2 linked regions of the Drosophila melanogaster genome follow. The protein of the gene in region 1 interacts with the protein of each later gene in a pairwise test. Each region holds a gene or a part of one and is shown in the gene's direction. Other genes may lie near its edges.

Evidence for each region. The genes of interacting proteins can lie anywhere in the genome.
Region 2: the proteins of CG14113 (region 1) and Hdc interact in a two-hybrid assay, tested with the Drosophila melanogaster proteins (one large-scale study listed by BioGRID).

What each region holds. Positions count from the first base shown.
Region 1 is NT_037436.4:13,327,345-13,330,267, forward strand, and holds CG14113 (uncharacterized protein), read left to right. Parts: upstream 1-1,790; 5' UTR 1,791-1,873; coding exon 1,874-1,891; intron 1,892-1,943; coding exon 1,944-2,174; 3' UTR 2,175-2,355; downstream 2,356-2,923.
Region 2 is NT_033778.4:10,236,056-10,241,025, forward strand, and holds the start of Hdc (histidine decarboxylase), read left to right. Parts: upstream 1-1,932; 5' UTR 1,933-2,420; intron 2,421-3,776; exon of another isoform or gene 3,777-3,831; intron 3,832-4,813; exon of another isoform or gene 4,814-4,838; 5' UTR 4,839-4,970. UniProt on the Drosophila melanogaster protein: Required in photoreceptor transmitter synthesis. Catlayzes the conversion of L-histidine to histamine.

The sequences.
Region 1 (2,923 bases):
GTGCAAGCCATATTACACTGGAAAAAAGGGGGATTTATTATTACAAATTTCTTGTTATTTCGCACAATGATCATCATATGGCATCTACATTATGGCATTTTTTTATAGCTCTGAATCATGTTCTTTATGTTAAGGATATGTTTTTCTTTAAATGTCGAGCTCGTAATAACACATAGTATTTTATCTATCTGTAAGGACAACGGCAGGACAAAAACCAAGCCTTGAAAGTCGCCTGCGGTTGCGCTCTCTTTCTGTTCCTTCTGTGAGTGAGTGTTGTGTTTTCCCAATTGTCGGATGTGCCCGTGGGGGAGGGGTTTTGCCCACTAATACCAGCACCAACACCACCACACATGCACAGCCAGTTAGACACTTTCTTTTGCTGCTTGAGCTTCCGTTTCCGCTTCTACTTCCGCTTGCCTGACCCGCTCCAGTTCGTCTGCCTCACTTACTTATGCATAGCATATAACCTTAAACATAATTTTGTTTGCCTTTTGTGTTCTGTTGTGTCCTCGTGCAATTCTATTTGCCAGTGCCCGTAGATAGCATTTTCTTATCTTTGTTTGCTTGTTTTTTCCATCAAGCGCGTAATTTTATCTATTTAACTCGTGCCTAGGACTTGCGAGACTGCTCGAAAAGTGCGGTTCCTTAAAGCTGGATCGAAAAGCATACTTTATTTTGAGCATTGTGGACCACAATTCAAGTGTCAAAGTTTGCACTTGAAATTATAATGGTCAGGCCCCAAAGCCCATTGGCCCGGTGGCCATAACAAAGGAATGTTGGCTACAATTCAACCCAAAACCAACCATCGTCCCCATCAGCATGCCAGCCACCTTCCACAAAGTTGAACCCTAGGGTCAAAAATTCGCACAATGTCAGTCGAGTCGGGTTTTGTGAGGCATAAAAACAAAAAAAAAAAAACCAAAAAAAAAACTTCGGATGAAATGCATGCCCCATTGACATATGAGTGGGCGTGGCACTCTGTGATGGGTGGCGGGTTCGTTGGATTGCCGAGGAAATGGCAAATGCATGCAGCCACTCGATATGAGCTATGCCCATTTTGGCTCCAAATCCACCAACGTTTCATTCCTACAAACCCCCTCTGAATCCATCTCTCTGCGTTGATTGTTCGATTCAAACATTTTGGCATGTTTTGGGCAGCTGAACTAGTTTTCACTTTTGCCCCAACTAGCCACAGTGGAGGAAAGGGCATAAAAGTTGAAACAAAAATGGCATTAGCGCTAAGCTAATAATCTGTAATATATTAGTAATGATTTCCTTATTTCAGTCAATATAACATGGACAAATTTTATTGAATTTAAGAATAGATTTTATGTTTATAGTAAGAAAGATTACTGGTATAAGTTTAATATTTTTGTAGGGAGCCAACACTTTTGCAAGCTCAAATTGAGAGTGTAAAATCATAAATGTTTTCTTTTTGAAATGTCGTGGTCGAAAACAATCCACTGTTCTGTTGTCGCCCAGCTGAGGCCGAAATGTGTTAAATCCGCTAGAAAAGCGGTTAACCGAGTAAACTGCAAATGCAAAATGCGGTTGGTTCACTTCGGTTCGGTGGGGTGACGTCCTGGCTTGGTCCGGCTCTGCTCCTGCTCCTGCTGCTGTTTCTATTCCCAGACCATATTAAAGGCAATGCCAAAGTGTTGATGGGTCAGTTTCGGCCGCATGCTGTATTGTGTTGGCAATGCCGAATCATTTTTGTACATTTCATGAGTTTTTTTCATTATGGGATAAAGTGTCGCTCAGTAGGCCAGTAAAACATTTTCACTGCGTTCGCAGGCTTGATCACATAGCATATACAGTAGAAGCGAACAAACGAAAAAAAAAAAACAAAATAATAATACTGCTTAAAATCAAGATGTCATCCGAAGAAGAGGTTTGTCCAATAAGATATTTCGTAAGTTACGACTTTTCATTTTGAATTAAAGGTATACACGGAGGAGGAGACTGATCAGGCCATGTCCTTCATTCGTGAGCATGACCTGCCCATGTCGGAGCTGCAGTATGCACTCAGATATGTCCGCATTCTGCGCGAAAACAAATCACTGAGCGATCAGGTTATGGGAATCCGTGAGCCACAGAATCCTGTTGCTGAGGTGGCGCCACCGTCATTCGACTGGAATGACAAGGAGAATAAAGCCGTGGCCCGGGATCCATAATTGCATTAAATGTTTTTAAGTTTTTTTTTATTGATTTGCGTTCTGCCTTCTGCCCTCTAATTGTCAACGATCAAAGCGCAATTTTAATTATTCGAAAATATGTAAACAAGTTTCGCAATAGTTGGCAATGGCTATATTAACAATTGTAATGCAAAATTAAAGATATTTTTTCTGTGCCAGCAGTAAAGTGTTCTCTGCAACAGTTTTCTTTGCCCAGGTTTTGTTTTTGGCGGTCCATTTCGACATCTTTGCATTCAACACTCTAGAGTGGCCCCGCATTTCCTGGCGAATTGCGATTTTTAATTGTCAAACGCAGTCGGGTGACAAATGAAGGCGTGAAGGAGTTGCACCGGAGAAGCCATAATGACAGCTGATAATTTATTCAGCAAGTGCAACAGCTGAGCGACGGGCAGGAATTGTTTTCCAGCAGCCATGAAATATTTACAAGGGATAAAGGAGCAGCAGCAGCAGAAGAAGGAAGCCGTGTCCTGTGCCACTGAGATGAAATACATCCGCTTGTCATTGTCCGAGGATGGCCGAGTGTCCAGATCTGCTGTAAAATGCAAATGAAGTCCCGGTGATTTCCACCCTCGCCGAGAGACTTGCATTTAATTAGGAATTAATGCGGCAGTGTGGGGGTGCGTTTCGGCACTCTGCGGTTAAGTGAAAGTTGAGCTTTTGGCTTAAGCCGCCTAAGCCGCGACTAAGTTTAATGTCCCAACGCGAAACGCTCAATTTGCATTTTGCAT
Region 2 (4,970 bases), on another chromosome or scaffold:
TGTGCCGATTCTAACCTGTTTTCTCTGCAGAAACTCTCCGAAAAAGTCCCGTAAGAAAGTCCCAGTTATTCAAGAGGAAAAACCTGTTACACGCAACTGGCTCAGAGAGCTGATTGCCAAGAAAATGGAGACGGAGAAAAGCAAAGAACAGAACAGAATCAAAAAGAAGCCAGCGTATAGCCACAATAGCAGCAGAAACAGCAAACACGTTAGTACCGTTGCCTCGGATTCTTTGTTGCGCAACTGTGTTGCAAGATTAGCTGCGACTTCCAACTGGTTTATTGCAGCCCCACTGTCGATGAGGCAACAGTTGGCCGGGCCATTACTGTTGTTCTGCCTTGAAGATGTGGTAAAATCTTTTGGCTAGAATCGGAAATCCAACGGCGAGACTGGCGGAGGTGCTGCATTGCATGTCTTGCAGCTTGACTGCATATCCCATCCATTTGTTTGCGGCTATTGAAAGCCGTTGCCTTTTATAATCAATTAGGTTTTTTTTTTTAACTTTTCGCCAGCCTAATGATTCCAATAGTCGCCTATAGCCAGGCAAGGCTGATTTTTGAGGCGAAATATCACCAACCAACTATTTTGATTACCAGAGAAACTCTGTTTCAAAACTAGCAAACTCATAAGACCTTTAGCAAATCTATTACAATGCTTGAAAACAATTTATGGAATTATTTGTCATCGTGTTTGGTTCTAAAGAGAATTAAGACCCTATTCAAGTTATATTCTATATAAAATTATTTTTTTAATTCCCTCTTTGTTAAAATTTGATCCTTTTCAAAAGTATTATGTATTCCATTCCTTAATTATAAAATCATCTAGACATAAATCGATTTATTGTAAGAACTTAAATATATCCAATAGTTAATAAAGCTTAATATTTTAGGAATATCATAGCTACTCGTGGTCTTATGTTTAGTACTCCCCATTCTCACTAACCTCTGATGGTGCTGGGCATGTTATCCGGGTTAAGCAATCTCATCAATGGACATGGACTTTCGTTCAGACACCCAAATCGGATCAGATCAGTGTCAAGGCCTTGAACTCATCTCCCGGCCATGAGATCATAATAGCGATCGTAAAATCGGCGAATTAGTTCGAGTCCCAGTATTGTTCTCGGATCAAATAGTTTTCAAACGGCGAAGTTAGCCGGCGAAGGCGATGATGAAGCCGGCGGAGTGGAACGGATCAGAAAGGAGAGCAAGCGTAATCGGGACTGGTAGCGATCCGATGAGAGAGCCCGGAATCCGAGTGGACTGGACTGGACGTGGGGACAAACGATTGCACACTAAATGGCCAGAGACCGAGTCAAAGACCCGTTGCATCCGATGATCATGATCGCGCTCATCATCGTGGTCATCATCCTCTGCATCGGCGGTGGAATCATCATCCTCTGGCGGGAACCTGTGTGCGGAGGCGAGTGGGAAACCAAGCAAGCTCCAAAAAGAAACAGAAACAGAAGCTCAGCCGAGAAAGGAGAAAGGAGCTGCAAGATGTTCCCACCTCACACACGCACGCGCTCACCAACACACCTGCAGAAGGGGCGCTCACCACAATTCCTGCTAATTAAATGCGTGATCACTGCCCAAAAATAATCGCGCAGCAACCGAAAAGCTACAGTCCCGCCTTCCTACAAAGGATTTTATAGAAGTCATTCAATAAAAAGTACACCAAAGCAAAAAAAGATTTCTGACATTTAATCATTTTTAAAATTCGTCAAAATAATGATATATTTGCATGTGAAGTTTAAATAGGCTTATAGAAAAACCGATTAGCTTTTCTTTGAATAAAATTTTCCATGGTATCTTTTAAAAATAACAAAGTTTTAAAACCCCTACAGCATGAGAAGAGAAGATATAAAATACTATACTAAAATATCGATTTATGGAAGTTGGCCTGTATGGGCTGGTAACAAATACACATGCCAGCGGAGTCAAGCGTGCATTTCATCAGAGATGGGATGTCCGAAAGTCCGAGAGTCTGACTGTTATTCCCAATGATACACGTAGTGCTCGGTACGAAGAGTTGGGGACCGAAGCCCGTGACGTTGCTCGGCAAGTATCTGTGTATCTTTGGGGCCCGTCATCGGATCGCAGCGCGCTCAGTTGCACCTTTAATCGCTGAGCAAACAGGAAGACTTCTACGGCAAACACACACACATGCCCACTCGCACACACACTCGCGCTGTGGGATGAAAAGGGGAAAGGCGTAAGAGGGGAAAAACAGGTTGAGAAGTACCGCTAAGCAGAGGCCCCAACTTTCCGAGGTCAACGAACGTTCTTAGCGCTCAAGAATGAAGGAATCAAAACACACCAAAAAATACAGAGCGAAGAAAAGAGAGCGAGAGAGGTGCTGAGAGAGAGTAAAGAAAGCACAAAGAGAGAGAAAGCCAAGCGATCGACTTAAGAGCGCGACAGGTAAGCGCTGCAACCAAAACCAAGAGAGCCAATCCGAATACGAAGAGAAAGAAGACAGTATCTTTTATTGTGTTTTTGTATGCACATGCACTTTTGAAACGAATTTATCTGTTGCCCACAGCTAAATGAAAAAGCTCACAAATTGTGTATTTTTAGCCGCAGATTTAAAAGAACAAAAAGGGAGAGAGCGGAACAAAAGCCGCATTGTAACTGTCTGTCTCATGACCAAAAGAAACCGAAATTCTTATTCTTATTGCTCAATATTTGGTAATACACACTCATGGATACAGATATAGATACAACTACAGATACATGTGCATTCGACGTGCAAAAGCCATTCAATGTAGCGGTATTTTGTCGAAATTTCCTGAGTCTCGAGACGAGTACAAAGCTCATTGACCTCATGCTCTCCCTCTTTCTTTCTTCTCTCTTGTGCCTTCTGCCCCATTCCCTTGTAACAAGTGTGTAATGAGCGGGGAGGGGGGACTGATTTGCTGTTTCTGATATTTTTTGGCGTTTTAAGACGGGCTTCCAGCCAACATAAGATTCGAACATTTTCGGCTTTTATGCCTTCCTGTGCGACTCTTCATATTCTTCGTTTTCCCTGGGGAATTTCGTTTAAATCTGGCCAGATGGGGTATTTATCAGTAAGCCCACACAACTTAGAAAATGAGGGACGTATTTAGCTGGCAGCCTGTTGATGCCATTTGCGTCTACTGCAATCCGATTGGTCAGTGGATTTGTTTCCCTACCGAAGGACACCTCTTTCCATTGGCTGTTGCTTCCCCCTCTCTCTCTCCCACTCTCTTTCATCCTGCGTCGTGCTCAATGTCCTTTTGTATTTAAACCGCCTGTTGCCGATTTATATGCTCTTTCTCTTTGAAAGGAAGTATTCGTAACCAAAAAGATAACACATTCATAAAAATGTTGATAACTACACGTAATACTTTTAAGCTCTTGACGTTTTGTGACTCATTGCCTCTATATTTCATAATGAATAAGAAAAATTACATTAAATTATCAATTTATTTTTAAAAGTTATTCATTTTAAGAAGCCCGAATTTTAAATAAATATATACTTATATAATAATATATATATTAGAAATAATAAAACTTATAAAATAATAAATATATAATCATTACAGTAAAGACTTTTAGGAAGACATCCTAGAAGAGTATTCAAAGTTGTGCACCAATGCAAACGCTTTGCTCTAAGCTTATTGTTGTCATCACCCATTTTAGGAAAATAGCCATCCTGCTGTTTAATAGCAATTTCATTTGGATAGTCCTTCGTTTTTGCATCGGAGAACAAACAGTATCCGGGTATAAATAGGTCCTGTTTGAGTCCGATTCCATTCAGTTGGACTTTGATTCGAGTCCTGTGCGTGTCAAATTGAAATCTATTGTAATTGTGCGTATATAACTTGGTAGTAAAATATTCCCGAAATATATAAAAAATTTTGAAATACTATAATTATTGTCCAGAAGATTTTTAAATAAGTGTTTGAAGAAAGTGTTTAGCTTAATCTCAATATATTTATTATAATAAAATTATTTTAAGTATATAAATAAAAACTAATATCTGCTGTAAATGATTAATAGCCATATAAAATGTAACCAGATTATCTTGTAGTTGTTTGAATTTTCTGTGATAATTTCTAATGAATGCTAACATATTTTTTAAATTCCCTCGTTATTTACAAATGCTTAAAAAGCCACAATGTTGCTGTTCTATGACTATCAACATTATTTGTGAAACGGCAAATATTTAATTCGATTTCGATCGATGAATTTCAGTTCATGTTTCCATCGTTCTAAATGCATGACAAAATGCAGTTGGAGTATGGGTGCACACACTGCAGATCGTTACAGATATAGTTAATTTGCGGTATTTAAAATATAATCAAGCAATGCAAGTCAGCAAGCATAAACAATTAGAGGGTGCTTTCCAATTTAAACGGAATTTTGTTGGAAATCAGCTGGCAATCCGAGCGCATCCCCCTTGGTTACACCCCTAATGTCGTGCTGCCTATGGGATGGCCAATTAGGGAGCTCCGTGTGTTCCAACAACTTGCCAACACATCCCACAGCCAGATCGGATTTGTAGTGCAGCCAACAAGCTAATTGGTTCCGGCCAGGTCTATAAAAGCCCGGCGCTATCCCAAAAGCCCTAGTTATAGGATAAATATTATCACGGCCGCAATTAGGTAACCATCCATCGGATTCGAACCCTTCCAGTGCCCGAGGTGCACCAACTAGGTGTTTTCACAGCTGTTAGCGTTTTCATAGCTTTTCCAAGCGCTTTTCTTGTCATTTCCATTTCCAGCGAACGCCAGAAGCCCCACAACATCGGAAGTGCACAAGTTTCTATTCCATTATATTGTTCTCCGTTGTTTTTTTTTTACTATTTCCCACCAGCGGTCAGACGGTTGACGTTCCCAATTCGGCATTTCAATTTGGCATACGTCCCCGAAAAATGGAGCTAGCCTAGCCAGAGTCCAACAGGATTAGGCCAAACTCATTGCGAAACGAAACGCCTGAAGATACATC